7 linked regions of the Callithrix jacchus genome follow. The protein of the gene in region 5 interacts with the protein of the main gene of each other region in a pairwise test. Links are inferred from orthologs where the notes say so. Each region holds a gene or a part of one and is shown on either strand. Other genes may lie near its edges.

Region 1 (4,292 bases), on a different chromosome or scaffold from region 5:
CCACCTCAGGCTCACTGCGCCCTCCACCTCCCAGGTTCAAGTGATTCTCTTACCTCAGCCTCCTGAGTAGCTGGGACTACAGGTGCCTGCCACCCCAAGCCTAGTTAACTTTTGTATTTTTAATAGAGACAAGTTTCACCTGTTGGCCAAGCTGGTCTCGAACTTCTGACCTCAAGTGATCTGCCCCCACCTCGGCCTCCCAAGTGCTGAGATTACAGGCATGAGCCACCATGCCTGGCCTTAGTTTCCACTTTTTAGATGCTCACATCAGCATCTTATGTCTACAGTAACTTGTTTAGAGTAAAGGGAAAGAAAAAAAAACTGATAGTAGTAAAATATTTTAATGACATAACCACACAGTAATTTCAAGCTTGAAATACTACTGCTGCGTGTTTTATATACAGCTACTATGAAACATATATGTCAAAGTTTCAACAAGAAAGCTACTCACCACCATCCCTCTCTCTAACTCTGTGAGTATGCACATTTTTGGCCTTACTGTGACCTGTGCTGTCACTGTATTTGTTTTCAGGACTATCAGATCTCCGCAACATTTTATTTGGTGGTGAAGGATCTGCGGCGTCTCGCATCTTTTCATGTCTGTGATCACCGCTACTGGGGTGACTCTTTGATGAATACTTAAGTGCCTGTAAAACATCACCCCCCCAAAAGAGAGAGAGAAAGAATTGAAACCTTAAACTTAACTCCAGAAACTAATTTAAACAAATTTTGGTGTATTAACGTCATCAAATTTTATGAACTTAAATTTCCACTTTGAATTCTGCTCTATTCTTCAAAGTTTCTCAGACAAAACCTAATGCTTAAGTGTTACAGTAACACTCCTGGTACAAATCATAATACTAAATGAAAAAAAAAAAAGAATCACTCCATTATCTTGTAACTAAATCAAACCACCTTGGCACACTGATTCTGAAAAAAAAAAAAATTCTGGGAATATTTAAAATCACTTTGAAAGTTTACTCAGAGGAAAACTAGAAATTCAGTACCACTGCAATCAATTTCTGCTATACAACTGATATGCACAAGCATATGAATAAGCACACGCGTATTTTTGCAAACCTACCAAAAAAAAAAAAACCCACACACCAGTTTCTCCAATTCTATGATTCAAATAAAGCATTTCAGACCTAACTTCCCTACTCTTACAGGTGTGGGAAACAATTTTAAGGTATAAAAATATTGACCAATACACTAAGGTGAATACTATTTCTAAACAAGCATAATGCACTCAAAATAATAGTTTAGCTTTATTCCAACATATCTTAAAACCACCATGATGTACTAGTCTGTTACAATGTGTAATTAGTTATGCTTTGGAGGACAGATTCAATAAGGTTTAATTTTTGACATATCCAATGTTTTACACATCAGAGAACAGTGTTTTCAAATTCCGCTGTATAACAACACAGGAATCAGGTTAGAAACCTGCTCTCTGATCTTTTAAAATCTAGAAAGGATTTCCGTAGTCATCTGATGATTACCAATCATTTATATTTCCCTTCTGAAAACTGGGGCCACTTCTATCATAATCCTTAGAACTTTACAAGCAGGGACTGCAGTAACAAAAAGGAACCCGCCTACCTAGAACCACCTACATCAGAATGAATTATCCAAGTACCAAAAGATCTCAATTCTTACAGAAACAAAAGCACACATCTTTTACTTGTACAGCAATTAAGTATACCAAAAATATTAAAAGGGGAAATAGCACTTTTTACCGACTTAAAAGTTGTAAGTCATTTAGCTATTTATCCCAGGTCCTTCACTTAATTTTAATGCCTTTACATTAACTTCCAGTTCCCCAACACAATAAATAAATAATTAAGCCTCGGAAGTCACCTATCATCTCATCCCTTCGATTCCTTCACCCGCAAATAATCGAGTCAGGTCTTCCTGGCTGCAAATGATTCTTTTTTTCCTAAATCAGCGAACTTCCTCCAGTCACCTGTCAAAATAAGTCACTAAACCTTGCTGGAGAGGGCCAAAAGCACCAAACCCCGAATTTTAAGGGGACCCGCGGTGCTGGTTTCCGATGTGTTACACCGAAGGGCCTGTAGCGACTTCTGAGGCCTGCGCTCGAGTAGCAGTCCCTCCCTTCCCCCTTCGGCCCCTTCCAAACCCTCCACCCGGCCTCGGCTAGTACCTGGTAAGGCTGCGAGTCCCCCCTCCGGTCGTGACAGCTGAAAAACAGGAAGAGAAAGCAAAGACATAAGACAAGGCGTGGGTGGGGGGCCAGGGAGGAAGAAAATGGGTCCCCAATCGCCCCTCCCCGCGGGAGACCTACCCAGCGCCCCGGCGCCGAGCCCAGCGCGCACAAGGCGCAAACCCCGAGCCTCCGGGAGGGCCGGGGAGGGCGAAACGCCGCGCAGCCGGGCCCCCGCTCCCCGCCACAGTCCGTCCCTGCCAGCCCGCCCGCGCGGCCGCTCCTCCTCCCCAATCCGATCCGGATCAGGGTTAACAACAAAAATGGCGGCCCGGCCAGCTCTAGATAAGAAGGAACAGCCCCCCCGCCGCCGCCGCCGCCGCCGCCGCCGCCCCCCGCCGCCGCCGCCCGGCCCGAAACGAAAAGACAATTTACCCATCACTGAGTCTCTGCTGTTTCCTCGCATACATTACCATCAATGCCCGGCCTGTGAGTGTGTGTCGGGGAGGGGGGAGAGCGGCCGCGAGAGGCGGGCGGGCGGGCGAGCAGGCGGCGGCGGGCGGCGGGCAGCCCCGGCACCTGGGCCCGGCGCGCCCTCGGCGACTCTCAGCACCTCCCAGTTACTGGCGCCGGCGCTCCCGGGCCATCTCCCTCCGTCGACACCACGCTCACTCTCAGCCGGGGAAGCGGCGCCAACTACACGGCGGCAGCGCGAACCGGGGGGAGGGGGGCAAGAAGATGCGTCCGGCTCAGCCCCGCGGAGAGCGACTGCCTCCTCCGCCTTCTCCTCCTCCTGCTCCGCCGCCTCCTCCCCTCCTCCCCCCGCCGCCGCCGCCGCTGCTGCCGCCGCCTGGTCCTTCTCCTCCTCCTCCTCCACCTCCTCCCGCCGCCGCTGGTGCCGCCGCCGCCGCTCCACCAACTACATCCGGGCAACTCGGACGCTGCCGCCTTCGGGAAACCTCGGCAGTTTCCGACGTGCCCCTCCTCTCCCACCCTCGGCCTTCCTCTCCTCCCCGCCCCGCGCGGGTCCGGAACGCCGCCCTCGGCAAACCTCGGTTGGCCCCGGCCTCTTTCCTCCTCTGAGGCCTGGCTCTCCTCCTCGCGACCTGTCAGCCCTTTACTTCTTTTCCTCACTCGCGAGTCCGGCCACCGCCGTTTCCGTTTAGGGATAGTCTCGCTCGGGCACCCGCTCGAGGCTGGTCCCAGAGGCTCCGGGCTGCGCGGGGAGGGAGCCGCCTTCCGGAAGAGGACGGTGGGGCGCGAGGGAAGCCATCGCGGACTTAATAAGGGAGGCTGCGGCGGCTGCGCGTGCGCTCAGAGGCGCCGCGGGAGGGGGTACCCTCGGGCGAGCTCTCCGGCCGCGGCCCCCGCCCCTATGGGCTCGGGCGGGGAGGTCGGAAACCCCCTGGCGAGACCAGGGGCGGACGCTTCCGATGAGCTGCCTGGTAGGCAGTCGCGAAAGCTACCCTCTGGGTAGCTGGGAGCGTACTCCAGCGCCTTCGGGCCGCTGCTGGAAGCCGGAACCGAGCCCGGGCCGCTGCCCCTCACCGGTCGCCGCGGGCGCCACGGGCCCTCCGTGGCGCAGGGGCTGCAGCAAGCTCGCCGGGCGTCCTTTAGACGTAAGTCTCACCCTGCGCCCCGGAGGGGGAAGGAGCACATGCTGGCCCGGGGAGAAACGGCCGAGAGGAGGAGCTGAGGGGTGCTGTGCCCGAGGCGGAAGGCGGTGCACCACGGCGGCCCTCAGCGGAGATGCCTGCACGGAGCGGGTAACACCATTCGGGGCAGGGAATGAAAGCGGTGCTTGATAGTGGAAATTTAGGGAGATGGGTCCCTTGGAAACAGCCCTGAACTGTCTCACTGCCCCACCTCCCCTCCCTTTTTTTGAGACAGGGTCTCGCTCTGTCGTCCAGGCTGAGTGCAGTGGCGCGATCACGGCTCACTGCGCCTCGACCTCAACGGATCCTTCCACCTCATCCTCCTGAGTAGCTGGGACCACAGGCATGTACCACCACGCCCGGCTAATTTTTTAAAGTTTTCCTGGAGATAGGTTCTCACTATGTTATTCAGGCTGGTCTTGAACCCCTGGCCTGAAGCGATCCTCCCGCCTCGGCCTCCCAAAGTGCTGGGA
Region 2 (3,769 bases), about 5.0 Mb from region 5:
AGGATGTGCCAGGACCAGGCCAGCAGGGTCTCATCCTGAACTTCTGTTTGCCAATGGGAGGAAGTGCTCAGGTGTGTGACAAGAAAACAAGGAAACAAAACAAAACAAAAATTAAGGGAAAAAAAAATACCAAAGTAGGATCTAAATTCCTTAAGTTCACTAAAAACTGTGAAAATTTCCGGCATATGATGTTTGAATATCAAACGCAGAGATTTCTGAAGCTTTAATGCCAATAGTTAGTGAGTCTGTTTAGATTCTTGTCTCCCGCTCATCTGTGAGTCGGGCGCTGAGCTGTGGCTGCTACTGCCAGATGCCGACTCTTGAGGGGGACGGTGGGAGGCGAGGTGGGCGCCGCCTCGGTCTCCCGGCCAGTCTTGCTGCCTGAGGTGCGCCGAGTACAGCGGGCTGCTCGCTCTTGTGCATCCAGCTGGTCCTCACACTCTGCCTGGGGACTGTGCGCCAGGGGGAAGGTCCGCCGTTCCCAGGGCTGGACAGACTGTAGGCAGACAAGTTGCTCTGTGAGGACCCAGTTGCAGCCAGCCTGCTTCCTGCTCCAAGGCTCTGCCATAAACCTTGTGGCCTGGAGCCTAGGACCAGTCTATTTGGAGTTCCCCAGGTAGTCTGGGAACACCCCTCATAGGGTGGGAACCTTTTTAACAATCATCAGTACAGTTCCACTGGACGTTGAGAGGTCAATTTAAGTGCAGCCCCTTGTCCCTTCAAAAGGGAGGAGGAGATGGCTTATGATGTAGATCCCTCTTCAGCAGGTGCTGTCCCTTCCTGGTTCCATCCCTAACCACGCCAACCCCACACAAAGGCTGTGTCCCTTACCTGTTCATCCAGCCCCAGCTCTGGCGTGGAACAACGGGTATCCTCACTGGCTAAGTGTCTCGGAGTGTCCCGAGCCATAGGCGTGAGGGGTGCAGAGTGCAGTTCCGGGCTAATGGGGCTCCTAGGGGACTGGCCATGGGCGTATTCCGACAAAGAGTGGCTACTGCTGACATCAGGGGAGGCAGGCTGTGGGGTGGAGGGGTTGGCACTGCCCAGCTGGGGGGTTGTCCGGCCGTCTGATGACCTGTAGGACCTATACATCAAGGAATGCAAATCTGAGTGCCTGGGAAATATGTTTATTTATGGGGGTAGAGGGCATGAAAAAAAGCATCCCCACAGGAGGGGCTGATGTGAACGAAGACTAACAGATTTTCCTTCGGATCCAGCAATTCCCATTCTTCCCACTACTCTCTGGAGGGGTAGGTATAAAACATCTACCATCCCAAGAAAAAACCATGGCTGAACAATGCCGGGGTGAGTCGCTATCAAAATGCCTACTGAATTCAGGAGGTAAGGAAGATTCGTATAGACTTTGAAAACTGTAGTCAAAGAAAAAAAAGTAAAAATAAGAGCCCCTAAAACGTTCTACTTGAGAATCCCGAGGGTTTCTGCCACTGTTAACAATAAATGGAGATTGGGTAGTGATGGACATAAGGGGGGCAGTTCCTTCAAGTGGCATCACAAAGCCACTGTCCAAAGGAAGGTTAACTTGTAGTGGGGCCTTCCAAGCTCCCCTGGTTGAATCACCATGACCCCTCAACTGCCTTCCAAATGGCACAGATCACGGGTATTTATCAGAATTGAACAGTGACTCCTCAGCAAGGATTTAGCACTTGGCTCCTTATACCTCCACTAGTTCCAACAAACACCAAGGAACTTCTGAGCACTTTCCCACTGCCAGTAGATGAATATGATGACCAACCAAGAGACAGCAGCAATTCCACAGACTCAGGTAGGGCCCCAACTCCCTGTCTACCCTCTCTCCACAGGCCCTGGGGACCCATGCCTGACCCATCACCTGCTGCCTCGCCGCTGGGGTGGCACACTCGTAGTCCACAGCCACCGTGCCCTCTCCATCTCCTCACATTTGGCATGTAGGGCGGCGAAGGCTGCGTCGGACAGGTCCTCAATCTGCAACGGAGAAACTTTATCAATCCCCTCTTTTCTCCTAGAGTTAAGAATCCCACCCCATTCAAGGCTCTTCCCAGTCAGGACAGGAATATAAGGAGCTTGCACTTGACACCCAAAGGTCTTGAGGTCATGCCATCTAGGGTGTGTGCACTCGTGTGTGTGTGTGCACACATGTGCGCATGTATACACGTGTTCTTCTAAGAGAAGGACCATGCCATTACCTCCTCATTCTCCTCATCAGGACTCCCCTTCAGAGACTGAAGATCAACCTCCCGCCAGCTGCAAAACCAAGAACGGACAATCATGAGATAGCAAGCAGGCTGCAACCCAGGGCAGGGTCAGAGTGTCCATGCAAGGATGAGAATCCTGCACCCACGTGACACTGCTCTCTGTTGGGCAGGCTCTGCCCTACCACAGCTCAGTCTCCTCACCCCTCAAGGCCTGTGAAATTGGCCACCTACTCAAATGCCTGCGAAGGCCAGAAGTTAAAGAAGCGGCCTGGGGTGGGCTGAGGCTAAGACACTGTGACAAACTCAAGAAAAGAAACCTGTTTAAAGGGGACCATCACTGTTCAGGACCAGCTGACTGCTCCCATATGAAAATGCATATCCAGGGCTGCCTCATTTTCTGTTCGGCAATAAAAGCTGGAAACACAGAGTTTTGTTTTGTTTTCAGACGGAGTTTCGCTCTTGTTACCCAGGCTGGAGTGCAATGGCGCGATCTCTGCTCACTGCAACCTCCGCCTCCTGGGTTCAGACAATTCTCCTGCCTCAGCCTCCTCAGTAGCTGGGATTACAGGCACGCGCCACCCATGCCCAGCTGATTTTTTGTATTTTTAGTAGAGACAGGGTTTCACCATGTTGACCAGGATGGTCTCCATCTCTCGACCTCATGATCCACCCATCTCGGCCTCCCAAAGTGCTGGGATTACAGGCGTGAGCCACCAGAGTTTTATGTGAAATCCTGCTTTGATGTTGACAACAAATTCAGTATTTTAAAACATACTGTATGTGTTGACAAAACCTGTCTCTAGACCAGTAAGTCAGTGGTCTACCAGGTTGTGACTGCTGGTTCGTTTGGTGTATACCTATAATGGAATGAGAGAGAACTATACACAGAAATAATTTCGCTCTTATCAGATAAAGAATTTCTCTTAATGAGAAAAGAGAACCAAAGACTAGGGCTCAAAGCTTGGTCAGAAGAGAAGAGGGAAAAGGCAATAGCAGGAAGAATGAGGAGAGGAGCCAACTATTCTGAGCTTCTACCTGGGAGTAAGGATTTCCTTGTATTGCAGTTTCTCTACGCGGGTTGTTGCAGCAACAGACATTGGGATGACAATGTTGTTAATATCGAATGAGCTCTCTCCCCTTCTCCTCCTTACTGGCTGCTGCTGTAAGATAAAAGTTAAGTTTAAAGGGAGGCACAATTTTATAGACATCAAATCATTCACCCAAGACTTAAAGCAGGATCACCAGTAACAAGGCATCTGGGTCCTTGGGTTAAAACTGAGTAGTGACCACAGCAGCTGCTCCCACCTAGGAGTCAGACTACAACAGCAAAAACCTCACAGAGAAATACTAGGAAGTTGTGAGGAGTTATTCCCATTCATAAGTCCCACTGGTCACCCTCTTCCTTCATGGACTCATGTGTAAAGAGACTGGTTAAATTTCACAGGTGGGGTTCCTACTCCATATATACCTCTGTTAACCCCCTCTCCTTTTAAAATCCTCGTTTCCCTCCTTTATCCCCATTTATGACTCAGACTCATAGTGGCCCTCCCTTAAAAGCAGTGCTTGAAATCTTATCC
Region 3 (3,769 bases), on a different chromosome or scaffold from region 5:
GAGAATTCCACATCCTTGCCAGAGTTTGGTATTGTCCATGTTCTGGATCTTGGCCATTTTAATAGGTGTATAGTGGTATGTCTTTTTAGTTTGCATTTCTCTGATGACATGTGATATACAGCATCTTTTCATATGCTTTTTTGCTATTTTTTTTTTGTGTATATATATATATATACACACAAGAATACACACACACACATTTTTTGTTGTTGTTTGTTTGAGATGGAGTTTCATTCTTGTTGCCCAGGCTGGAGTGCAACAGTGCAAACTCTACTCATTGCAACCTACACTTACTGGGTTCAAGTGATTCTTCTGCCTCAGCCTCTCGAGTAGGTGGGATTAAAGTCATGCAACACTATGCCCGGCTAATTTTGCATTTTTAGTGGAGATGGGATTTCACCATGTTGGTCAGGCTGGTCTTGTGCTCCTGACCTCAGGTGATCTGCCTGCCTTGACCTTCCAAAGTGCTGGGATTACAAGTGTGAGCCACCGTGCTTGGCCCTTTGTGTATGTTTTTTGGTGAGGTACATGAGAAGTTTTTGGTCTATTTTAAATTTTTTTTTTTATTGTTGAGTTTTAAGTGTTCTTCGTGTATTTTGGGTTAACAGTCCTTTATCAGATCTATCTTCTGCAAATATACTCTCCTGATCTGTGGCTTGTCTTTTCATTCTCTCACAGGGCCTTTCACAGAGCAGAGATTTTTAACTTTAATGTAGTCCTGCTTATCAATTTTCTCTTTGATGGTTTATACCTTTGGTGTATTTTGAAAGTCATTGCCAAATCCAAGATCACCTAGATTTTCCCCTATTACTAGCTTCTGGGAGTTTCATAGTTTTGCATTTTATATTTAAGTCTGTGAACTATTTTAGTTTATTTTTGTGAAAAGTGTAAGGTCTGTCTAGATTCATTGGGTCCTCAGTTTTTTGCTGGCTATTGGCCAGAAGCTGTTCTTAGTTACTTGCCTCTTGAACCTTCCTGACATAGCTGCTTTTTTCCTCAAAGCCAGCAAGGGTGAGTGTCTCCTAGTAAGACCTTATTGTCTTAGGTAGTAAACTCATGAAGTGACAATCTGTTACATTGTTTGTAATATTCTAGTCACAGGTTCTGCCCACATGCAAGGGGACAGGGAGTTACACAAGGGTGTACGTACCAGACGACAATGATAACTGTTTTAGAGTCTGTTCTTCATGCTCTGGATTACATGAAAAATGGGATTATATTTCTTAAAAATCTTTGAAAAACATGTCATGTATTAAGACAAAAACTCAGTTCTTTTGGTGGTATAATGTTAGTGGTTTCAGAGTATTCTTCCAGACTTTTTTCTATGCATTTAGTAACATAACTTATTGTTTTCTATATTACCTCATTGTATATACTGATTGCTTCTTAAACTGGGTTCTAAATGTTAAAATAACATCCCTGTTTAAGCATCTTTATTTTCCTTTTGTGTTTGTGTAACATTTTATAGTATATAACTTGGAACCTAATACCTTAAAAATCCTTTCTTTTTTGGAACCAGGTACATCAAGAACGTCTCTATCAAGAATACAATTTCAGCAAGGCTGAGGGCCATCTGAAACAGATGGAGAAAATATATACTCAGCAAATACAAAGCAAGGATGTAGAATTGACCTCTATGAAAGGGGAGGTCACCTCCATGAAGAAAGTGCTAGAAGAATACAAAAAAAAGTTCAGTGACATCTCTGAGAAACTTATGGAGCGCAATCGTCAGTATCAAAAGCTCCAAGGCCTCTATGATAGCCTTAGGCTACGAAACATCGCTGTTGCTAACCATGAAGGCACCCTTGAACCACCCATGATTGCACAGTCTGGTGTTTTTGGCTTTCCGTTAGGTAAGAAAGGACATGTGATACCCAGTATCTGTTCTTTAAATCAATGATTTTTTATATTGCGCTGCCCACTTCCAAGCTAAACTCCATCTCAAAAAAAAAGAAACAAAGAGTATAGGCTCTGAAAATAGGGTAGGGATATTGACCAAATTGTTTAACTTTCTGTGCCTTCTCATCTGTATAAAAGAGGGAGACTAATACCTCATAAAGTTTTGTAAATTATATGAATTTATATAAAACACTTACACCCTAGCACCTAGGAATCAATAATGGCAGCTAATATTACTACAACTATGTGGCTTTTAATTTAACATAGCAATTTTTGCAAGCTTTCATTTTGCAGAGATTAACTCTGCTCAAATTAAAGCTTTAATTTAAATGTAACCAAATACAATAGATAAAAGTGATGATGTACAGGTTGAAATGTGGGTGAAGAATTCATAGCCTTCCACAACTCAAGACCCTTATAGTCCCCACTGAATGCTATAGGACAGTACAATGTTACATTACTTCTCAGGGCCCCTGTGCAACCTTTCATTCCCTAAGCTACGTTTTCTGAAATTTGATTATAGCAAATGGCATGAAATGAAATAGCATACTTGAGAAAAAAAAAAAAGAAATAGCATACTTATTTGAACGGTTGCATTAATCTGACTCTGCCTCTAATTTCTTTTACTTTTTTTTTTTTTCTTGAGATGGAGTTTCCCTCTTGTTGCCCAGGCTGGAGTGCAATGGCATGATCTCAGCTCACCTCCACCTCCACCTCCTGAGTTCAAGCGATTCTCCTGCCTCAGCCTCCCGAGTAGCTGGGATTATAGACATGTGCTACCACGCCTGGCTAATTTTGTATTCTTAGTAGAGACGGGGTTTTTCCGTGTTGGTCAGGCTGGTCTTGAATTCATGACATTAGGTGACCCGCCCACCTTGGCCTCCCAAAGTGCCGAGATTGCAGGCATGAGCCACCATGCCTGGCCCAGAGCTTATACTCTTAACCATTTGCTATGCTGTGAGAAGACCATGTTTCAAATTTTTTCACCTGCCAATACCAATTGTACAGTTCTTAAGTTATTGTTAGTTTGGTTGTTTTGTTCTTTTGTTTATTGATTTTTACATTTATCAAATATTTAGCAAATATGTTTCATGTACCAGGTTGTTAGGTATGATCCCAACCAATGAGGATATAAAGATTATCCAAATAGGATTCCGTCTTTGTGGAAGTTCACAATCTAGCATGATGCCACCATCTCTTTTCCGCTTGTTAGGTGCCTTGCAGATGGAATAAATCTCATTTCTTTCTGAGTTCTGTTCTTTACAACAGAATCTGGTAGATTTTTGCAATGCTATTAATGGAAATTGTTTTTGGCATACAGAAGAGTAAAGCTTCTTGTGTTGGATTTTCCTAATACTCATTTTTGGATATTTACTATAGGTTGAGGAAAAAGGTTTAGTAGGGGAGGAGATGATGTTTTAGAAAAGGTATGAGGTGGTCAGGTGTGGCCCAGCACTTTGGGAGATTGGGGTTGGAGAATCACTTGAGCCCAGGAGTTCAAGACCAGCCTGGGCAATATAGTGAGATGCTGTCTCAGAAAAAAAAAAAAAACAAAAAAAAAAAACAAAAAAAAAAGAGAGGGGACAGGTATGAGGTGATGAGCAGTATCAGGTAAAAGAAAAAACCTGTTTCTGCTTAACTTTGTTACTTATATAATGTAATTTAGTCAGTGTTACTGTAAATGGGCATTATAGATATACTTATTTTTTTTCCTGCCACTGTCCACATTTGTCTTTTTTTTTTATATTCAATGGTTCTTGCCCATTCCTCTTTTTGTACATACTTAATCTTTTTATCTCCTGTCTTTTTATCTCCTGCTACCACTGTTAGCTTGCAGGATGTATAGTCAGCATTTTCCTTTAGTTGCTTA
Region 4 (4,477 bases), on a different chromosome or scaffold from region 5:
CTCCTGGTACAGTGAAAATCCTGGTAAATGATTACTGTGATAACATTCATAGAGGCTTACTATTCCTGGAGAAAGACATAAGAAAACCAGAAGATAATCCACCAGGAACCACTGCCTCTATAGCCACCTACCCATCAAACAGCCTGATGAGCAATTCCAAGGCAGGCCTAGTTCAGATCTAACCACTTAGCTATTCAGTCTAGGGCTGGGTGGGGACCCAGTTTATTGGCAGGTGATACAGAAGGCATGTAGTCCAGTAGAAGCCCTAGGTGAAAGTCCTCCAGGACCCCCCCCAGAATGAAGCATGCCAGAGCCCAGCCCTGGCACAGTCAACCTACTACCCTCTAGCCCACTGAACCCCTGCCCACTTTTCTCACTCTCCCAGAACCAAAGAGCTCCTGGGGGGTGGGCCTGGGCTCTGCTTCATCAAGGGCTGCTGACAGAATGAATCCAGGACTCCCTGTCATGGGATGACCTTGGCAGTCATTCTGCAAGGTGAACAGGAAGGAGGAGGAATTGCACCTGAATTTCTGAATAAGGGATGAATAAAAAGGCTCGACAATGGTTTTGTGAGATGAGGCAGAAAGTTGCCACCCATTAAGGTCAGTGGGTCAGTCTTAGAGCTGACGGTAACTGCAAGAGAGCTCCAGGAAAAAGAAAGGATGGCACGACGTCTTTTATGATTATCCTCCCCAACACACACACATGCACGCACACACGCTACTTGGAAAAGCCCTCACTGGTCCTCTAAGCAAACAGAGGATGGGCTTTCAGCATCTTTCTTGACATCAGTGTCAAGGAAGATCATCTGGACTTGGGCTTTCTCCAACACAAATCTCCAAACTGGGATCCAGGGAAAACTAAACGGACTCCATACTGCCAAACATCCTGTGTGAACAGGCAGGGGTTGGTGGGGAGTGGGAGGAATGTGGCCCCTCCTCTGCCACAAAACTAGCCCGTGTCCTGCTTCAGTTTGGGTTATGGTATGTTGGCAGAACAGCCATTCCCAATCCTTTCCCTCTCCCCACCCCGGGCTCCAGCTGCCCAGAGCTGGGGACTGGGGTATGAGTCTGGAGGGCACCTCTGTACCAATCCTTCCTGGCACCCATTCATGCGCCCCCACACACAACGAGGGGTAGATATTGCAAGACTCCGGCGCTACCCGAGGCAAAGCAAGCAAACGGGATTTAATTCGCTCTGGAGTTTTATCTCGGGGCATTTCCTTAAGATAATTACTCTCTGGCCGACTCCCACAGAGGCTGCAAGGGAGCGGCCGGAAGGAATGCGGAGCCTTCCCGACAGATTCCGGGCGCTCCACAGTGTGCGGGGACTGGGAGCAAGGAACATCTCCAAGGCCTCGCGAATTTGTCCCGGCCAAGCCCCTCAGATTCACGACCTTTCAAATACCAAACGACCGAGCCTTAACTAAAACCTGCTTCCGCGCCCCCGGCCGCGCCCCTCTGCTGCGCTAGCGCGCTGAGCTCTCTGAAGGCTGCCTGTCTAAGCCAGCGCGCGTCGGCTGCCTTGGCCTGGGCTCCAGCTCGCCTAAGGAACCAAAGTGACAGTCTCCAAGCCGGGAGACTCTCGCACCCCAGCCAGGACTCCAGCTCCACCACGACCCCGGGCGGACCTGGATCGCCGGTGGTCGCGGGTACGCCTGGGGCTAGCCGGTGAGGGTAGCCCGTGGCCCGGAGAAGTCTTTAAGCATCGCGGGTCCGCCTCCCTCCCTCTCGAGCCCTCTTTGTTTTCCAAATACTCCAGCGCTGACGTCACCGGGCTGGACAGCAGGCTGCATTCTTTCTAGGTGAGAGCCAATTCGTGTCTCCAGAGAGGATTTTCCAAGGAAGACAAAGAGGAATTCTTGGACTAGTTGGAGGCAAAGGCACCTGTAACCCCCACCTAACCAAATCAACCCGCGAGACCCTGCAAATTGAACCCCAAGCGGCGCCTCCAGGCCTGTCCCCCGTCACCCCCACCCCGGCCTACCTGCAACCCGAAACACCGTCGCCTCTATAGAGTCTGCCCTCTCCGCTCTCCCCCAGCCCCGGGGGACCGGCGCGCTGCTAGAGCCCCGCAAAGCCAGGGGCGCTGGGCTCCCAGGCGGAGCGGCCCTTGCCTGGCACTGCGGCTGCCTCGAACGGGCGCACTACGCCCGGAGTACGCTCGATCCTCCGGGCTCCGACTCCCGGAAAAGGCCGGGCTGCGCCGAGACTCCGGCTTTGGCCGGGGCACGTCTCTGTGGCCTCGCGCGCTCTCCCCAGCGCCAAGCGGCCTTCCTTACCGCTGCGGCCCGCGGGTGCCCAGCACAGTCAGACACTGCAACCCCCGGCTCGGCCCTGCTCAGCTCGGCGGCGGAGATGTATTCTCGGCAGTGGCGCCGACGCTCTGGCAGTTCGCGCCCCAGCGCGCAGCCCCAGGGTCGGTCCGCGCTGGAGGCGGCTGTTATGCCAGGAATGTGAGAGTTTCAGGTTCCCCCTCGGGATCAAAGCGAACCACAAATAACCTCTCAGCGCGCCGCCCTCCTCCGCCCTCCGCCTCCTCCAGCTCCCTCCTCCCGTCCCCCGCCTTCCTCCCGGGAGGCGGCGCTGCTGGCTGAGCGCCGGGCCGGCCCCTGAGCTCCGTTCCTCCGCACTCAGCGCCCTCCAGGCCGCAGTGTGTCCGCCCCTGCCCCCCGCTTTGCGATCGGAGCTGCTGGAGACAATTTAATACAACTCGGCCCATTATTGCTTACACCCCTAGTCGCCGACCCGCTCTCCACCCTTCATCCCGAAACCCATCGACGGAACGATACAGCAAGGGCTGTGCCACGCTTGTCCCGGGGTTGCTGCGGGAGAGGCTCCGGCTGTGCGTGTGTGTGTAAACCGGGGGAGGGGGTAAGGGAAGAAGGACCGCAAAGACGTCTATATCCTCAGGGCTGGGAGCTTGTCCCGGGAGAAGTGAATACTTCCAGCCTCCGAGCCTCTCTTTCCCCTAACCCCCAGTGCTTTCACCCCCGCGGCAACCTTTGAATTGCACTTTTGTTTACAAACACCTTCACCAGCTCTTTTACGAACCTTCTCCACAGGAAGCGTGAATCTGTGTTGGAAAATCCTGTCAATTTGATCCATCTACCCAACCGAATCTCCCGCCGCCAGGCGCTCTGTCCACCTCTTCCCCAAGATAATAGGCGCCCCTTTACGCAGAGCGCAGGGTGTGCCACCGCCGGCTTTTCTCCCAGTCAAGCGATCCAGCCTTGCCTAGCATCCTCCAACGGAGTTCTGTTATCATCCCTGTGTTATAAATGAGGACACCAGGGCTCAGAGAGCTTAAGCAGGGTGCCCAGAGTCACACAGAAAGAACCAGACAACCAACCAGGGGCTGCTTGGGTTTTCATTCTCAAAACCCCTCCGTTGCCATCAGAATCCGGGCTCCCTAGATGGACTGGGCAGACGCCAGGAACCTTCCTCTTTCCACCTGCCCGCTCCTTGTTTTAGTCTCTTCTTTACCTCCCCCTACACCCCTGCCAGCCAGCGGCCTTCCCTTGTATCCACTTCTGTGGCTCCTGCATGGAATCTTCTTCTCTGCCCCCAGGACACTTCGTCTGCTAGGTGCAAACCCCTTCTTCAGAAAGCCTTCACTGACACACCCTGTCCCAGTTCCCACTACACAGGGCCTCTCTACAAGTCAGTTGGGCTGAAGTGGGGGCAGTCAGGCCCCTGTCCACCCAGAGAGTCAGGGCTGATTTCTTCTTCCCCTGGCTGGGTCCTCCCCTCAGCATGGAGTTTGCAATTCCCAAATTCACCGGAGGGAACCAGGGACAAGGAAACTCTGGAAGCTTAATAGCCAGGGACATTGTTAATTTTTAATAAAACTCCCACAAAAAGTGTGTGTGTGTTTTACTTGGAAGCCAAATACTGTTTCAAATAGTGATTGCATCTGAGATGATTGAGCAAATGGGTCATTTGTGAAGAGGTCTCTGGGTGGCCTTACCTTATGGACAGTGTAATTGGTGGAGGAGGGGAATGGTTGTGGACATGTGTACTCTGGGTTGTAAAATCTCGGGAAAGATCACGTCTTTCAGGCATTTGGGGGGATACCTCACAACATGTTTGACAAATATTCTTGAGATGGTTGCAGAAAGGCATCAGTTCAAGGCAGCTAGAGCAAAGGGGGTACATCTTGGAGTGGACAGGCCTGCTGCAGAGCCACACAGGTCCCCATGATTGCTTATTTCTACCTCCCAAGGGGACAGAAGGGGGAGAGGGATCCCAAAACCTAAATGAGAAATGTGCATGTACTTTTCTTATTTTTCCCTTCTCTTTTTCTCTGCATGAAGAATGGAGGGCAGCATCTTCCAAGCATGGGGTGCCGATAGGCTCCGTGGAGCCTGCTTAACCTGGCAGCCACCCCAGCTCTGCAGGGTGGCTGGTCGAGAAGGTGACCACCATTCAGATGTGCCAGAGTCAGACCTCCACAGGGGACACTGGGCTGGCCAGCC
Region 5 (2,861 bases):
CAAGCACTGGTCTTGGAGTCCTACAGATGCAGGCCCAGGCCCAGCCCTGCTGCTTATCATCCATCCACAAGGCCCGGGGCAAGTCCTTCTTCTCTCTGCCTCCAGTGACCTCATCTCTGAGGTGGGAATAAAATCCTGACCACCTAGTGGTGAGGATTAAATGAGCCCCGTGGGTGAGCGTGCCTGGCATTGTGCCAGCCATGCAGTGGTGCACCAACACAATCAGTGCAATCAGTCATCTGGTAAATATGAACAGTTGTTAGATGTGCTGAGTTCCGTGCTGGGTAAACCAAACTGTTCTAAGGGAACTTCCCAACCCTCACTTCCCTGGTCACCCCTTGGTGACCCAGAAGAGCAAATCGCCTGAGTGGCACTGTGTTTGTCCCAGCCACCAGCGCCCTGGGTACCCAAAAGAATGAATTGTGGCCACACAGGGAAGAGGCCCAAGTCAGGGGAGACGTCAGTCAGCATGTGGACCCTGGGTCTCCTCAGAGGTCAGAGGCCAGCCAGGACCCCATCAAGAAAGACTGGGCATATTGCCAAGATATATTTGCAAAAGGAAAAGTAATTCTTTATTGCAGGAACAGACACCGTACAAATGAGCTCATTACACAATACAGCTGCTTCTTGCACCTCCTTGCTCTAAAGAAGTCAGAGAGAGGTAGAGGGGAACAGAGCGCATGCAAAGCCCTGAAATAAGATGCCGAGGGACCTTTTCCAGCTCTCAGAAGGCAGGGACTGGGGTTTGCATATGCAGCACCTCTGGCCAGTCCTCCACTTGGCCCGATGAGAGTAGGGGGTGTCGAGGGACGTTTCTCCTGCGATGGGCACTTAGATGTCTCTCTTGCGGGAAGAAACCACCTTTCCATCCACTGACTCCTCCACGTTGATGCGGAAATTGCTGCTGCCACCGCCACCTCCCAAAGAGGCTAGAGAGAGAAGGAGCAGGCTTTGGAATAGGGGAACCTCCCCTCTCTCCCAAAGTGGCCGGGACCTTGATGGGGCTTTGGGGAAACTAGACAGCACCCCTGAGAATGGCCACCAACCAACCCCTTAAGAGCTGCCAGAGATCTGTTGTTGAATTAATTCCTTGTCACAGAGCTGGGCAGTGGCAACGACATGAGGGTTTTGAAGCTGTGTTCAAAAGGGGATTCACTGTGGGCATCTTAGCAGAAGTACATGAAGATGGGGCCTGGGGAGAGACATACCCTGAACGAAGCCTACTCAACCTGGAAGTTTCTCAATAAATCGCCAACCCACTCTCACCTGGGGCTGGCAGAGGGCCCGCTGGGAAAGAGGTAATGGAATGGGAATGTTTCCACCTAATTGGACGTTTGGGCTCTTTCTCCTTCCCTCCCAATTTCTGCAGGGAGTGGTGGCCCTCCCCATCCCACACCAAAAGAGTGAAGCCTTCCTACCTTCCCTGATGCCAGCGCCAGCCATCCTGAAAGAAAGAGGGAAGCTAACTTAAGCAAAGGGCAGGAGCTCAGGTGTCCCTAAGAGAAGCTCACGTAGATAGCTCTGCAGCCTCCTCCAGAACCTACACCACCCACACACATGACTCCTCTAGGGGTGGGACATCCTGCTAGCCCATCCAGGCCTGCCACCCCCAAGTAGATAGATTCTTTTTTGGAGTTTTTTTATTTGTTTTTTGAGACTGAGTCTCCCTCTGTTGCCTAGGCTGGAGTGCAGGGGCATGATCTCGGCTCGCTGCAACCTCCACCTCCCGGATTCAAGTGATTCTCCTGCCTCAGCCTCCCAAGTAGCTGGGATTACATGCCCATCACCATGCCCGGCTAATTTTTGTATTTTTAGTACAGATGAGGTTTTGCCATGTTGGCCAAGCTGGTCTCAAACTCCTGACCTTAGCCTCCCACAGTGCAGGAATTGCACGCATGAGCCACCGCGCCTGGCTGAGATTCTGATCTACAAGAATACCCATCTATTTCATGCAGAGAACCGAATGAGCACTAGATCTTCACTATCATTAGCCTAGCCTCTATCATTTGCAGAAGAAACACAGATCCAGAGAGAGGAAGTGACCTGCCCCAGGTGACAGTCAAGGACCAGAGTGCAGAGTTCAGATCCTCTCTCCTTGCTCAGTTCTCTTTTCACAGTTCCTCCAGGCTGCCACGCCCTGCCATTCCCTTAGGATGACCCTGCACCCTAGCCACCACCAGCCCTCAGCACTCCTCCCCCTGTGCCCAGGCCCCTACTTGGCATCCTGGCCCTCAAGCAGGCTGCGGTAGGTGGCGATCTCCTGCTCCAGCCGCGTCTTGATGTCCAGCAGCATCTTGTACTCCTGGTTCTGAGCCTCCATCTCACTGCGGAGCTCACGCAGCTGTGCCTCCAGGCCACTGATGAGCCCCTGGATCTGCTGCAGCTGCATGGCATAGCGGCACTCCGTCTCCGCCAGAGAGTTTTCCAGCCCAGCTTTCTGGGGGAGCGACAGGTACATAGACACATTAGGCTGAAAAGGAACCCACTGAGGGCAGGCAGGAGGCGGGGGGCACTGAATGGAATGCAGGGAACCACCTCTAGAGGGGACCTGAGAACTCCAAGACTTAACTAGCCAGGAAGGGTGGGAGTTTCTACTAGCCAAGAGGCCGGGATGGGGGACGCGGGTGGCCGTACCATGCTGAGCTGGGACTGCAGCTCGATCTCCAGCCCCTGCATCGTGCGTCTCAGGTCTGTGATCTCCGTCTTGCTGGTCTGGATCATCTCTGTGTTGGAAACCATCTCTTTGTTCAGCTCCTCAGTCTGTAGGTCATGCACAAGAGAAGTGAGCCCCGGTGCCTCCTCCAAGACTGAGGGGCCTGGGGCAGGCAGGGCAGGGCAGGGCAGGGCAGGGCAGGGCAAGG
Region 6 (3,769 bases), on a different chromosome or scaffold from region 5:
CCTTCTGACCAGTTTCCTCCTCACCCTGTTGCCTTCCCAAGAATCTGCTTTTACCAGAGCCCAGGACCACACTGGTTTGGTTCCTGACCCGGCAGATATTTATCAGTCCCCCTCAGTTTGCCCTTTCCAATGAGCCAGTTTGTCACAACTCTTCACATGGGTTGGGCTACTTGAGTTGTGCCTACCTCCCGGCCACTCACCCATCCCAGCCCTACCACGTCCATTCAACAGTGTCCACTCTCTCACCCTCACCAGGGGATGCTCACCTTGGCTGAGCTGAGTGAGCCGCATGCCCAGGCAGACTCCCTGGGCGGTGATCACTGGCCCCGTAGACAGTGGCAGTGGCTGGGGTGGTGGGAGCACTGGGAGGCCAAGGCGGGCCCGGACGTCCCCGAGCTGCTCCTCCAGCTCGTGCAGCCTCCGCAGTGCGTCTGCCTGGACCTGGCGCCGGCGCCGGCGCTGCTCGGTGCTCAAATCAGGGGCCAGGGCCAGGCGGCGGGCAGCTGCTGCAATCTGCTGCTGCACCGACACCTCACGCTCCAGGGCCTCAAGAGCCAGCTCCTGTCGGGCCCATCCAAATGTTGGAAATGGCCAGGCACAGGGACCTGGTGGAGCCAAACCCACTAGAGGCTGTCCTGCACTTCCAGTGGCCTATTCAGGCCTATTCACCTGCAGGTGGAACTTATTTACCCCAGGGAGGGGAGGGGGCAGGGCAGGGCAGGGCAGGGCAGGGCCTCTCTTGGTGAAGGACTGGGACTGTTTATCTTCCTGAGCATGGGAGGCCTGTCCTGACAGTTAGGGACCAGCATCCTCCCTCATTGCAGGAACCTACCTCCAGAAGCCCTTTTCCTTCTCACCTTAGCCTCTCCCTCACCTGGCCACAAGCCCCCTCCCCATACCTTCCTCCTGGCTACTCCTCTGTACCTGTCCCCTCTCCCCACCCTCTTGCTCTCCACACCCATCTGCTCACCTCAGCAGGGCACAAGGAGTGGTGTGCTGGGTTGGGGTGTGGTGGAGGGTAGGCGCGGGCTGTGGGGGGCCGCCGGCGGACCAACTGGGGCCGTTCACCAGGCTCCAACGGGCACTCAGGGGGCAGCTGGCCAGTCAGCTCCTGGTGGAGGGCAGAAGTCAGAGACTACCAAGGGTTAGTTGGAAGGATGCGGTAACACATTAATGATCCCAGAAGCTACAGAAGTCCTACCAGGAGCCTGGCCCTGCTCAGCACCCACACACGATACTTCCCTTCCTCCTCCCATTATGTCCAACAGGCAGGCGTGCCCAAATCTCAATGGCCCAAACCCCTGTGGTGGTGGGCATGAGAGGCAGGGAGACCTGCTTTGGGATCCAAAATTGTTTCATTTTTATAAAAGCGATACCATCGAGATCCTAAGTATTATATAACTCCCTTCGGGGGCTGGGGCTGCGTGGTCTGAGCTATAGTATTATTTCTGGCACACTGTGGGCATTCACAGTAAGAGGGGGAAACTGAAACTACACATCACCCTGTGCCAGTTCAGGTCTGACTGTGCTGCCAAATTTTGAACAGAACCTGTTTTCTAAGGTTTGTTGGATTTGAAATTGTCGACAGGGGATTGTGTGCCTGTATTACCGTATTTCATTCATTCTAACACAGCTAAGCTGAGCTTTGAGAAAGTGGGTGACAGAGAAAAGTGGGTGACACAGACAGGACAAGTGGTTGAACAACTGCCACCCAAGTCTGTCTATCTAGGGGACCCAGCTCCTCACCTCCCCCACCACCTCCCCGCCTGACACCCCTAGGGCCAGGCCCTTACCGCCTCCTGGAGACACACTTTGCGGAGCTCCTGAAGTTTCAGGCTCAGGGCCTCCTGTAGGGTCCGCTGCCGGTCAAGCAACCCCCGCAGACGCTCTGACTTCACCTGGGGGGCAGCCTCTCCGAACAGGGCAGCTGGACACAGAGGGAGCAAAGATCAGTGGGACAGCCAGGGCATCCTGGAGCAGCTGTGGGGCCAGGGACCAACTCTTCCCAAGCAAGCAGGTGGTGATTTAGAGCAGGGGAGGAGGCAACAGGAGGGGAAGCAGCCACCGACCTGGGGCATTGAAGGTAGGAGAGCTGATCAGCTGACCTTTGACTTCCATCTTGGTGCTGTTGAGAGGCCGTGGCTGATGGCTGGACAAAGTCTGGCAGTGACACACAGGAGCCGTTAAGGAAGCACGTCCCATGATACCCCAACCCCCAGCCCTTCCCAACTTCCCATGCCACAGCAGGGAATAAGGGGTAACCTGGGCCCCACGTGCCTGCTTGACCTGCCCTTTCAGAATCCGTGTGGATGTCTGGACCCACTTGGCCCTGGTACCTTGGTTCCCTTCGCATTGAGTGGGAGCACAGCAAGTGGGGAGCTGGGCGGACTTACAACGCCTCCTCAGAGGCCCATGGGTCACAGCCAGGAGTCTTGCCTGGGGAGGGAGAATTAATGGGACAGATTCAACCAACCATAAGAACAACAGCCACGCAGTCAGCACCTGGTTGCCTGCAACAGTTACCTACAATGCCACAGTGAATCTTCACAGCCACCTGGGAAGATTCATACTCCCATTTTACAGATGAGGAGAGGAAGGCACAGAGGTGAAATAACTGGCCCATAGCCACATACATAACCCAGGTCCACCCCCTGGACCTACACTCTTGCTCACGAGAACCGCTTCAACTCCACCAACTTCCTCATAAGTTCCCTGGTCCCTCAGGCCTCAGGGTCTTTGCCCAGGCTGTGGCTGCTGCCTGAAATGCTTTCTTCAATCTGTCACCACCCCAGCCCCTTCGTGTCACTTATCATTCTAAAGCTTAAATATCACTTCCACAGGGGGCCCCTGTGTTATATTCTCTCACAAATGGTTGTCCAACAAGAGATTATGCCTCCTGGAACATCCGCAATGATAGAAAACATTATCTGTCCCATTTTCATCAGCATTGCCAGCATCCTGAACACGGCTGTACACGCAAGTGCTCAATGAATGGGTGCCAGGTGAATGAATAAAAGACGGAGTAAATGAATGAGGAGGCAGTGGAGCCAGGGTTCAAGCCCAGATCTGTGGGTCTGTGCTTGTCCCAACTCCATTCTGTAGCTCTAGTGCAGCAAGGAGAGTGTTCACTAGGTTCACTTGACCCAGGGTCCCTCCAGCCCCTCTTCCCATGCCAGCCTGTCCTGAGCCTAGCTAGGGAAGTCCCCCTGCTGGAATTTGTAAGAAGTAAAGTCCACAGCTGAAAATAACAAACCACCTGCCTCCTGCCTCCTGCCTCCTTCTCTGCCCTCAATGCCTCTGCTGACCATGGAGCCTGACTTGGCTGGCCACCAGCCCTGCCCTTGTCCCCTCCTTTGGAGTTTGCTCCCTCCCTTCCACATCCTGCTCAGTCCCCAGCTGGGGAGCTGAGTGACATCACCTCCCACCACCTGGCCTAACCTCAATGGCAGGTGACTGGGAGGGTTTTATGGGGCCACAGAGTTCCCATCATCACCTACCTTGAACTTGGCAGCTTGTCATGACACTGTTAGCCTGGTGTGAGGAAGACCCAGCCAACCAAGGAGGCATGGGTTCAAGCCCCTTCCCCATCTGTATATCGTAGGGTGAGGCCAAGCTGTCTATAAGGTGTCAGTTTTCTCTGGAGTCCTCCTACCTGCCCCATAGGGCCTGTACCCCTCTCTTGAAGCAGTGGTGCCCTGCCTTCAATAGCAGGGGTGGGAATCAGTCCCTAAAGCCTTTTGACAAACCCAGGCCCCAGCAGAGGCATTCA
Region 7 (4,471 bases), on a different chromosome or scaffold from region 5:
GTAGGCAAGGGCTTCATGACCAAAACACCAAAAGCATGGGCAAAAAAAGCCAAAATAGACAAATGGGACCTAATCAAACTCCACAGCTTCTGCACAGCAAAAGAAACAGTCATTAGAGTGAATCGGTAACCAACAGAATGGGAAAAATTTTTTGCAGTTTACCCATCTGACAAAGGGCTGATATCCAGAATTTACAAAGAACTCAAACAGATTTACAAGAAAAAAACAAGCCCATTCAAAAGTGGGCAAAGGATATGAACACACACTTTACAAAAGAAGACATACATGAGGCCAACAAACACATATGCTATTTCTTAAGTATCTCTCAAATTTATTCTAATTCCACTACCAGATACAATCCAAGTCATTCTCATCTCTTAACTGTACAACTACAACAGACTCCTAAAAGCTCTACCTTCCTGAGGCACGCTGGCTCCTTCCAAGCCATTCTCCTCATGGCAGTCAGAGGGATCTTCTAAAAATAAAATTCTAATCATACTAGTCCTCTGCCTAAAACCCCTTAAAGGTTTTCCATTACCCACCAGAAATGGTCTGAAATCCTTACCATAAATTACAAGGCAATATAATATGGTAATTTTTACAAATTGACACTCTGGAGTGGAGAAACATCAGTTCAAAACGACTCCAGAAACTACCTGTAAGGTGACTTTGAACCAGCTGCTTTAACAACTCCAAACCTCAATCCTCTCATCTCACCTTCTGTAACCTATAGTTACAGAAGCTCCTTTATTGAGTTATTCTTAAGATTAAATGATATTACAAGTACAGTGGAGGAGGGCCACTCTTCCCCTCTTTTTCAGTGCTTCCCTTACCAGCTGTGGTTAGGAATACAGATTCTGGACACAGCCCGACACTCTGGTACCTGTTTCCTCTTCCATAAATTGGGGATAGCAGTAACCCACCTGACAAGACAGTTGAGGATTAAATTACGTAAAATGGCTAGAAGAGTGCCTGGCATATAGTAAACGCAACGTGTCTGCTACAACTCCATTCTCTTCTCTTTCATTTCTTCCAGCGTGCCTCCTCTTTACTGCTTCCGCTCCGCCTACTCATCCTTCAGCACAGGATTCAAACACCACCTCCTCCTGGGTGGTTGGGGGTTCTCAACCCCAGTCCAGCTTCGCGACCTCCCAGGCCCGCTCTTTGATGGGGCAGCAACTTCGACCCTATCACATGCAAATTCTAGCTGTCTACCACGTATCCCTACAGTAACAACGTCAGCCCGTGCATACCTTTCCCAAAGAACCTTCCTACGGCCGTTTTTAAAGGACTCTCAGGAGGCACAACCTCGCGAACATCCCAGCCTTTTACCTTAATTGTACCATTGTGATACCCAACACCTTGTGAAACTCCCCGGAAGTGAGCCAGCTGGGGGCGTTCCCGCACAACCACCCACCTCCTACGCCCTTGGCGCTTTCCGGCCTTTTAGGCTCGGCCGGAAAAGAGGCAGAACTCGATGATCTGACTGGCGGTTTCCCCGCCGGACTGAGAAGAGGAGCGTACTGCGGGTCGCGGGAGTGCCTCCTTGGTATCCTGCTCTCGCGACATGGCCTTCAATTTTGGGGCTCCCTCGGGCACCTCCGGCACCGCTGCAGCCACCGCGGCCCCCGCGGGTGAGTGATCCCCCTAGACCTTCACCCGGGAAGGAGGGGAAGGGTCTGGTCCGCCCCCTGTCCGAGACTCTCCGGCTTGGGGATCCTGCGATCTCCCGCCGGCACCATTGGAAAAGGGCGGGCGGCGGCAGAATGGGCCAAGGCCGCTCCGGAGGAGGCCGCGGGGGTACTCGTGGTGTCAGCAGAAGCTCGCGTGCTGCGCGTGAGTTCCCGCAGGGCCCTCGCTTCAGCGGTGCTCTTCCCGCCGCCAGGGATTCCTACTCAGAGAAATTGGAGGTTGCTCCCCTCTTCCCTTGCCCGAGAGTCTCCCTCCCTTCTGCACCTCAGGCTCCCGGATGGGCGGGAATGGTCGCGTGATTCCCGCTGCCGCACTCGGCGAGGATAGGGATAACGATCCACCGGCACTGTCCTTTGCCACCCTTAGTTCCAGCCCCGAACCCTTGTGGTCCTCGCTATGGGACTTATATAGGTCGTGCTTCTTCCATTCCCTCCCCCCATCCACCCGCCTCTGCTTTCTTAACCTGTTTGGAGGAAAACCAGGTTTGTTCACTTCTGTGAAACCTCCTGCCGATTCTTCTAATCCTTATCTTGCTTTCTTTTCTTTTTCCCTCTCCCTCCTTTTAAAATTTTGTTTCTTTGCCTACATGCCTATCAGGATTTGGTGGGCTTGAGACTGCCAACTCCACCGCCAGTGGGTTTAATTTTGGGGGTTTCGGATTAACTGCTAATCCTGCAGTGAACTTTAATATTGGGAATTTCGGTGTTTCTACTACCTCGGCGACTCCGTTCAATTTTGGTAACAGTCTGGCAAGTGCAGGTAGATACTGCGGGTTGTATGTGTAACGAGTATTGGGAGCTGGAGTCCAAGAATATTGTGGTTCCTGGAGTTTGGGAAAAAACAGTAACTTGTCTAATAAGGAAAGGAAATTTATTTCCTTATGTGAAATCAAGAACATTTTTATCAAGTTTTTACTGCCTTAAAAGATGTCGTTTGGAAAAGTTCTGCAAGTTATAATGTTCCTTTATTAAATGTGCACTTATCTTCCAAATGTTAAGCATTTGGATTATAATTTTGAATAGACTATATCTTTAAATTATTAGATTTAACTTCCAAAGTATAAATTCACACCATCCAAGCCCATCCTGGGATTCTTGGACTCCTGCAGTCATATTTCATTTTTTCTGCATCTTTCATTGGGATTTCATTTTATTGTCCTTGTGTTTCCAAAGAGAAACAAATCTTATACGAACAGCAGTAACCTGTTTTGTTTTTTAACTTAATAATGTATTTCTTTGGTCAACTCAGCAGATTAAGATACTATAAGATACGTAATTTCTATAAGATATGTAATTATAGAAAGAATCCAGAATTCTCTGCTAGAATTTTGGGAAATGCTCAAACAGAGCAGTTTAATTTTATGTCAAATAGCACCAAATTCTAAAAGGTAGGGTAGCTGTCTTTGCATTTAAAAATTAAGAAGATTTTTGTATGCATGTGGGTTGTTTGAAGTTCATTAAAAATTTTGCAAAACACAATAATGGTTATTATATATACATTTAAAATAGGTTTATGTGTACTTTACATAGTGACCCTATAGAAAAAATCTTGTTCTTCAGCTGCTCGTATATGAATTTATTGTCCATAGTCTCTTACATTATGCCTCTTATGCCCATGCCAATTATATGCATTTGATAAATGTTATTTACTCCCTAAAACGTACTTGGAAAGTCTGGTGTTTTGGTCATTCACTAGTTACTGCAATGTGATTATCACCCTGGTATCTGAGTTGAAACCTGTTAGAAGAATATTTGAAAACTCCAAAGACAAGATGATCCAGTTTAGTTAAGATGTATTTGAAGTGATCACATATCATTGTCCTTTGATATGTTTATTTTTCCCTGTTTGCTTAAAATTGGCACTGGGTAAAACAGAAATCTTATTTTGAAATTTGTGTTTCCAAATAAAGCCACCCAGCTCATAATTTAGCAACAATAAACTTGTTGGTATTTGCTTGATTTCATGTTCATTTGGAGTCATCACTGTTAAGTTTTGAGTTATGATACTGTAACATGTTTTAACTACTTTTATATGTGTTAACCTTCAGCAAAGGTCTAATAGAAGTTCATGTTTACGTTTTATTTTGTATTCTTGCAAATCCACTATTACTAAAACATTTTTTAATGTAGTGGAGCATGATGAGAAACTGAGTAGTGTTTCTATTGTGTAGCCAATTCAGATTATATAATAGTTATTCAATGGAAGTGAAGAGTAGTGAAAAGAGATTAGAACAGTGCTTAGTACTTTAGGTGATTTTTATGAAAATGTTCACAGTTTACAGTACTGCAATAGAACCTACAAGTAAATAGAATATGTAGTTGTGCTTGCATGCAATATGCAGTTTACTTTTAAGTAGTTTTCCAAATCAGAATTAATGTAAAATGGTTGCATTTTTTTCTTCTTGTATCTTCTATATTACAATATTGATGAATCTTGTGTTGTATACCAGAAATAGAGGCAATTAAAGGTAGATTCTAAAAAACCTGCAATATAATTCTACACTAATGGTTCAAACATTTGTCTCAAAAGGCTTTTTGGTATCACATTGGTAATCAGCTGAAGACTGACGATAAGTTACAAAAATAACAATAAAACTTTTAAATTGGCTAGCATTCCATTTATCTGTCATATTTCTTCAAGAAACAAATTGTTGTGTGGGGTAAGTATATTGGTACGTTACCTTTAGAAAGTTACTTAGTCTTGACAGACTAAGTAGAAATATAAGCTAATCTAGACATAAATTCACCAAATCCAAGGTTGCAACAAGTCTGCCAATGTG

Evidence for each region.
Region 1: the proteins of KRT15 (region 5) and WAC interact in a two-hybrid assay, tested with the Homo sapiens proteins (4 studies listed by BioGRID and IntAct). The two-hybrid records come from large-scale screens. The link is inferred for Callithrix jacchus from reciprocal best matches to the Homo sapiens genes KRT15 and WAC.
Region 2: the proteins of KRT15 (region 5) and KANSL1 interact in binary tests that used the Homo sapiens proteins (3 or more experiments, as listed by UniProt). The two-hybrid records come from large-scale screens. The link is inferred for Callithrix jacchus from reciprocal best matches to the Homo sapiens genes KRT15 and KANSL1.
Region 3: the proteins of KRT15 (region 5) and CCNB1IP1 interact in binary tests that used the Homo sapiens proteins (3 or more experiments, as listed by UniProt). The two-hybrid records come from large-scale screens. The link is inferred for Callithrix jacchus from reciprocal best matches to the Homo sapiens genes KRT15 and CCNB1IP1.
Region 4: the proteins of KRT15 (region 5) and AMOTL2 interact in binary tests that used the Homo sapiens proteins (3 or more experiments, as listed by UniProt). The two-hybrid records come from large-scale screens. The link is inferred for Callithrix jacchus from reciprocal best matches to the Homo sapiens genes KRT15 and AMOTL2.
Region 6: the proteins of KRT15 (region 5) and CCDC120 interact in a two-hybrid assay, tested with the Homo sapiens proteins (2 studies listed by BioGRID and IntAct). The link is inferred for Callithrix jacchus from reciprocal best matches to the Homo sapiens genes KRT15 and CCDC120.
Region 7: the proteins of KRT15 (region 5) and NUP54 interact in binary tests that used the Homo sapiens proteins (3 or more experiments, as listed by UniProt). The two-hybrid records come from large-scale screens. The link is inferred for Callithrix jacchus from reciprocal best matches to the Homo sapiens genes KRT15 and NUP54.

What each region holds. Positions count from the first base shown.
Region 1 is NC_133508.1:28,790,178-28,794,469, reverse strand, and holds the start of WAC (WW domain-containing adapter protein with coiled-coil), read right to left. Parts: upstream 2,641-4,292; coding exon 2,600-2,640; coding exon of another isoform or gene 2,269-2,599; exon of another isoform or gene 2,202-2,268; coding exon 2,166-2,201; coding exon of another isoform or gene 2,165-2,165; exon of another isoform or gene 2,110-2,164; intron 667-2,109; coding exon 452-666; intron 1-451. Other genes in the region: uncharacterized protein LOC118143121, read left to right, coding at 2,269-3,330; uncharacterized protein LOC144576520, read left to right, coding at 3,598-3,930.
Region 2 is NC_133506.1:86,771,247-86,775,015, forward strand, and holds part of KANSL1 (KAT8 regulatory NSL complex subunit 1), read right to left. Parts: intron 3,353-3,769; coding exon 3,228-3,352; intron 2,242-3,227; coding exon 2,184-2,241; intron 1,963-2,183; coding exon 1,850-1,962; intron 1,085-1,849; coding exon 832-1,084; intron 497-831; coding exon 269-496; 3' UTR 1-268. UniProt on the Homo sapiens protein: Non-catalytic component of the NSL histone acetyltransferase complex, a multiprotein complex that mediates histone H4 acetylation at 'Lys-5'- and 'Lys-8' (H4K5ac and H4K8ac) at transcription start sites and promotes transcription initiation.
Region 3 is NC_133509.1:55,034,012-55,037,780, reverse strand, and holds part of CCNB1IP1 (E3 ubiquitin-protein ligase CCNB1IP1), read left to right. Parts: intron 1-1,519; coding exon 1,520-1,853; intron 1,854-3,769. UniProt on the Homo sapiens protein: Ubiquitin E3 ligase that acts as a limiting factor for crossing-over during meiosis: required during zygonema to limit the colocalization of RNF212 with MutS-gamma-associated recombination sites and thereby establish early differentiation of crossover and non-crossover sites.
Region 4 is NC_133518.1:49,808,222-49,812,698, reverse strand, and holds the start of AMOTL2 (angiomotin-like protein 2), read right to left. Parts: upstream 2,855-4,477; 5' UTR 2,732-2,854; intron 2,473-2,731; exon of another isoform or gene 1,987-2,472; intron 1,673-1,986; exon of another isoform or gene 1,631-1,672; intron 1-1,630. UniProt on the Homo sapiens protein: Regulates the translocation of phosphorylated SRC to peripheral cell-matrix adhesion sites. Required for proper architecture of actin filaments.
Region 5 is NC_133506.1:91,741,945-91,744,805, reverse strand, and holds the end of KRT15 (keratin, type I cytoskeletal 15), read right to left. Parts: intron 2,761-2,861; coding exon 2,635-2,760; intron 2,438-2,634; coding exon 2,217-2,437; intron 1,445-2,216; coding exon 1,419-1,444; intron 930-1,418; coding exon 832-929; 3' UTR 548-831; downstream 1-547.
Region 6 is NC_133524.1:49,609,930-49,613,698, reverse strand, and holds part of CCDC120 (coiled-coil domain-containing protein 120), read right to left. Parts: intron 2,437-3,769; coding exon 2,278-2,436; intron 2,161-2,277; coding exon 2,070-2,160; intron 1,928-2,069; coding exon 1,794-1,927; intron 1,112-1,793; coding exon 971-1,111; intron 562-970; coding exon 267-561; intron 1-266. UniProt on the Homo sapiens protein: Centriolar protein required for centriole subdistal appendage assembly and microtubule anchoring in interphase cells. Together with CCDC68, cooperate with subdistal appendage components ODF2, NIN and CEP170 for hierarchical subdistal appendage assembly.
Region 7 is NC_133504.1:121,963,033-121,967,503, forward strand, and holds the start of NUP54 (nucleoporin p54), read left to right. Parts: upstream 1-1,510; 5' UTR 1,511-1,567; coding exon of another isoform or gene 1,568-1,634; 5' UTR 1,635-1,969; coding exon 1,970-2,174; intron 2,175-2,289; coding exon 2,290-2,451; intron 2,452-4,471. UniProt on the Homo sapiens protein: Component of the nuclear pore complex, a complex required for the trafficking across the nuclear membrane.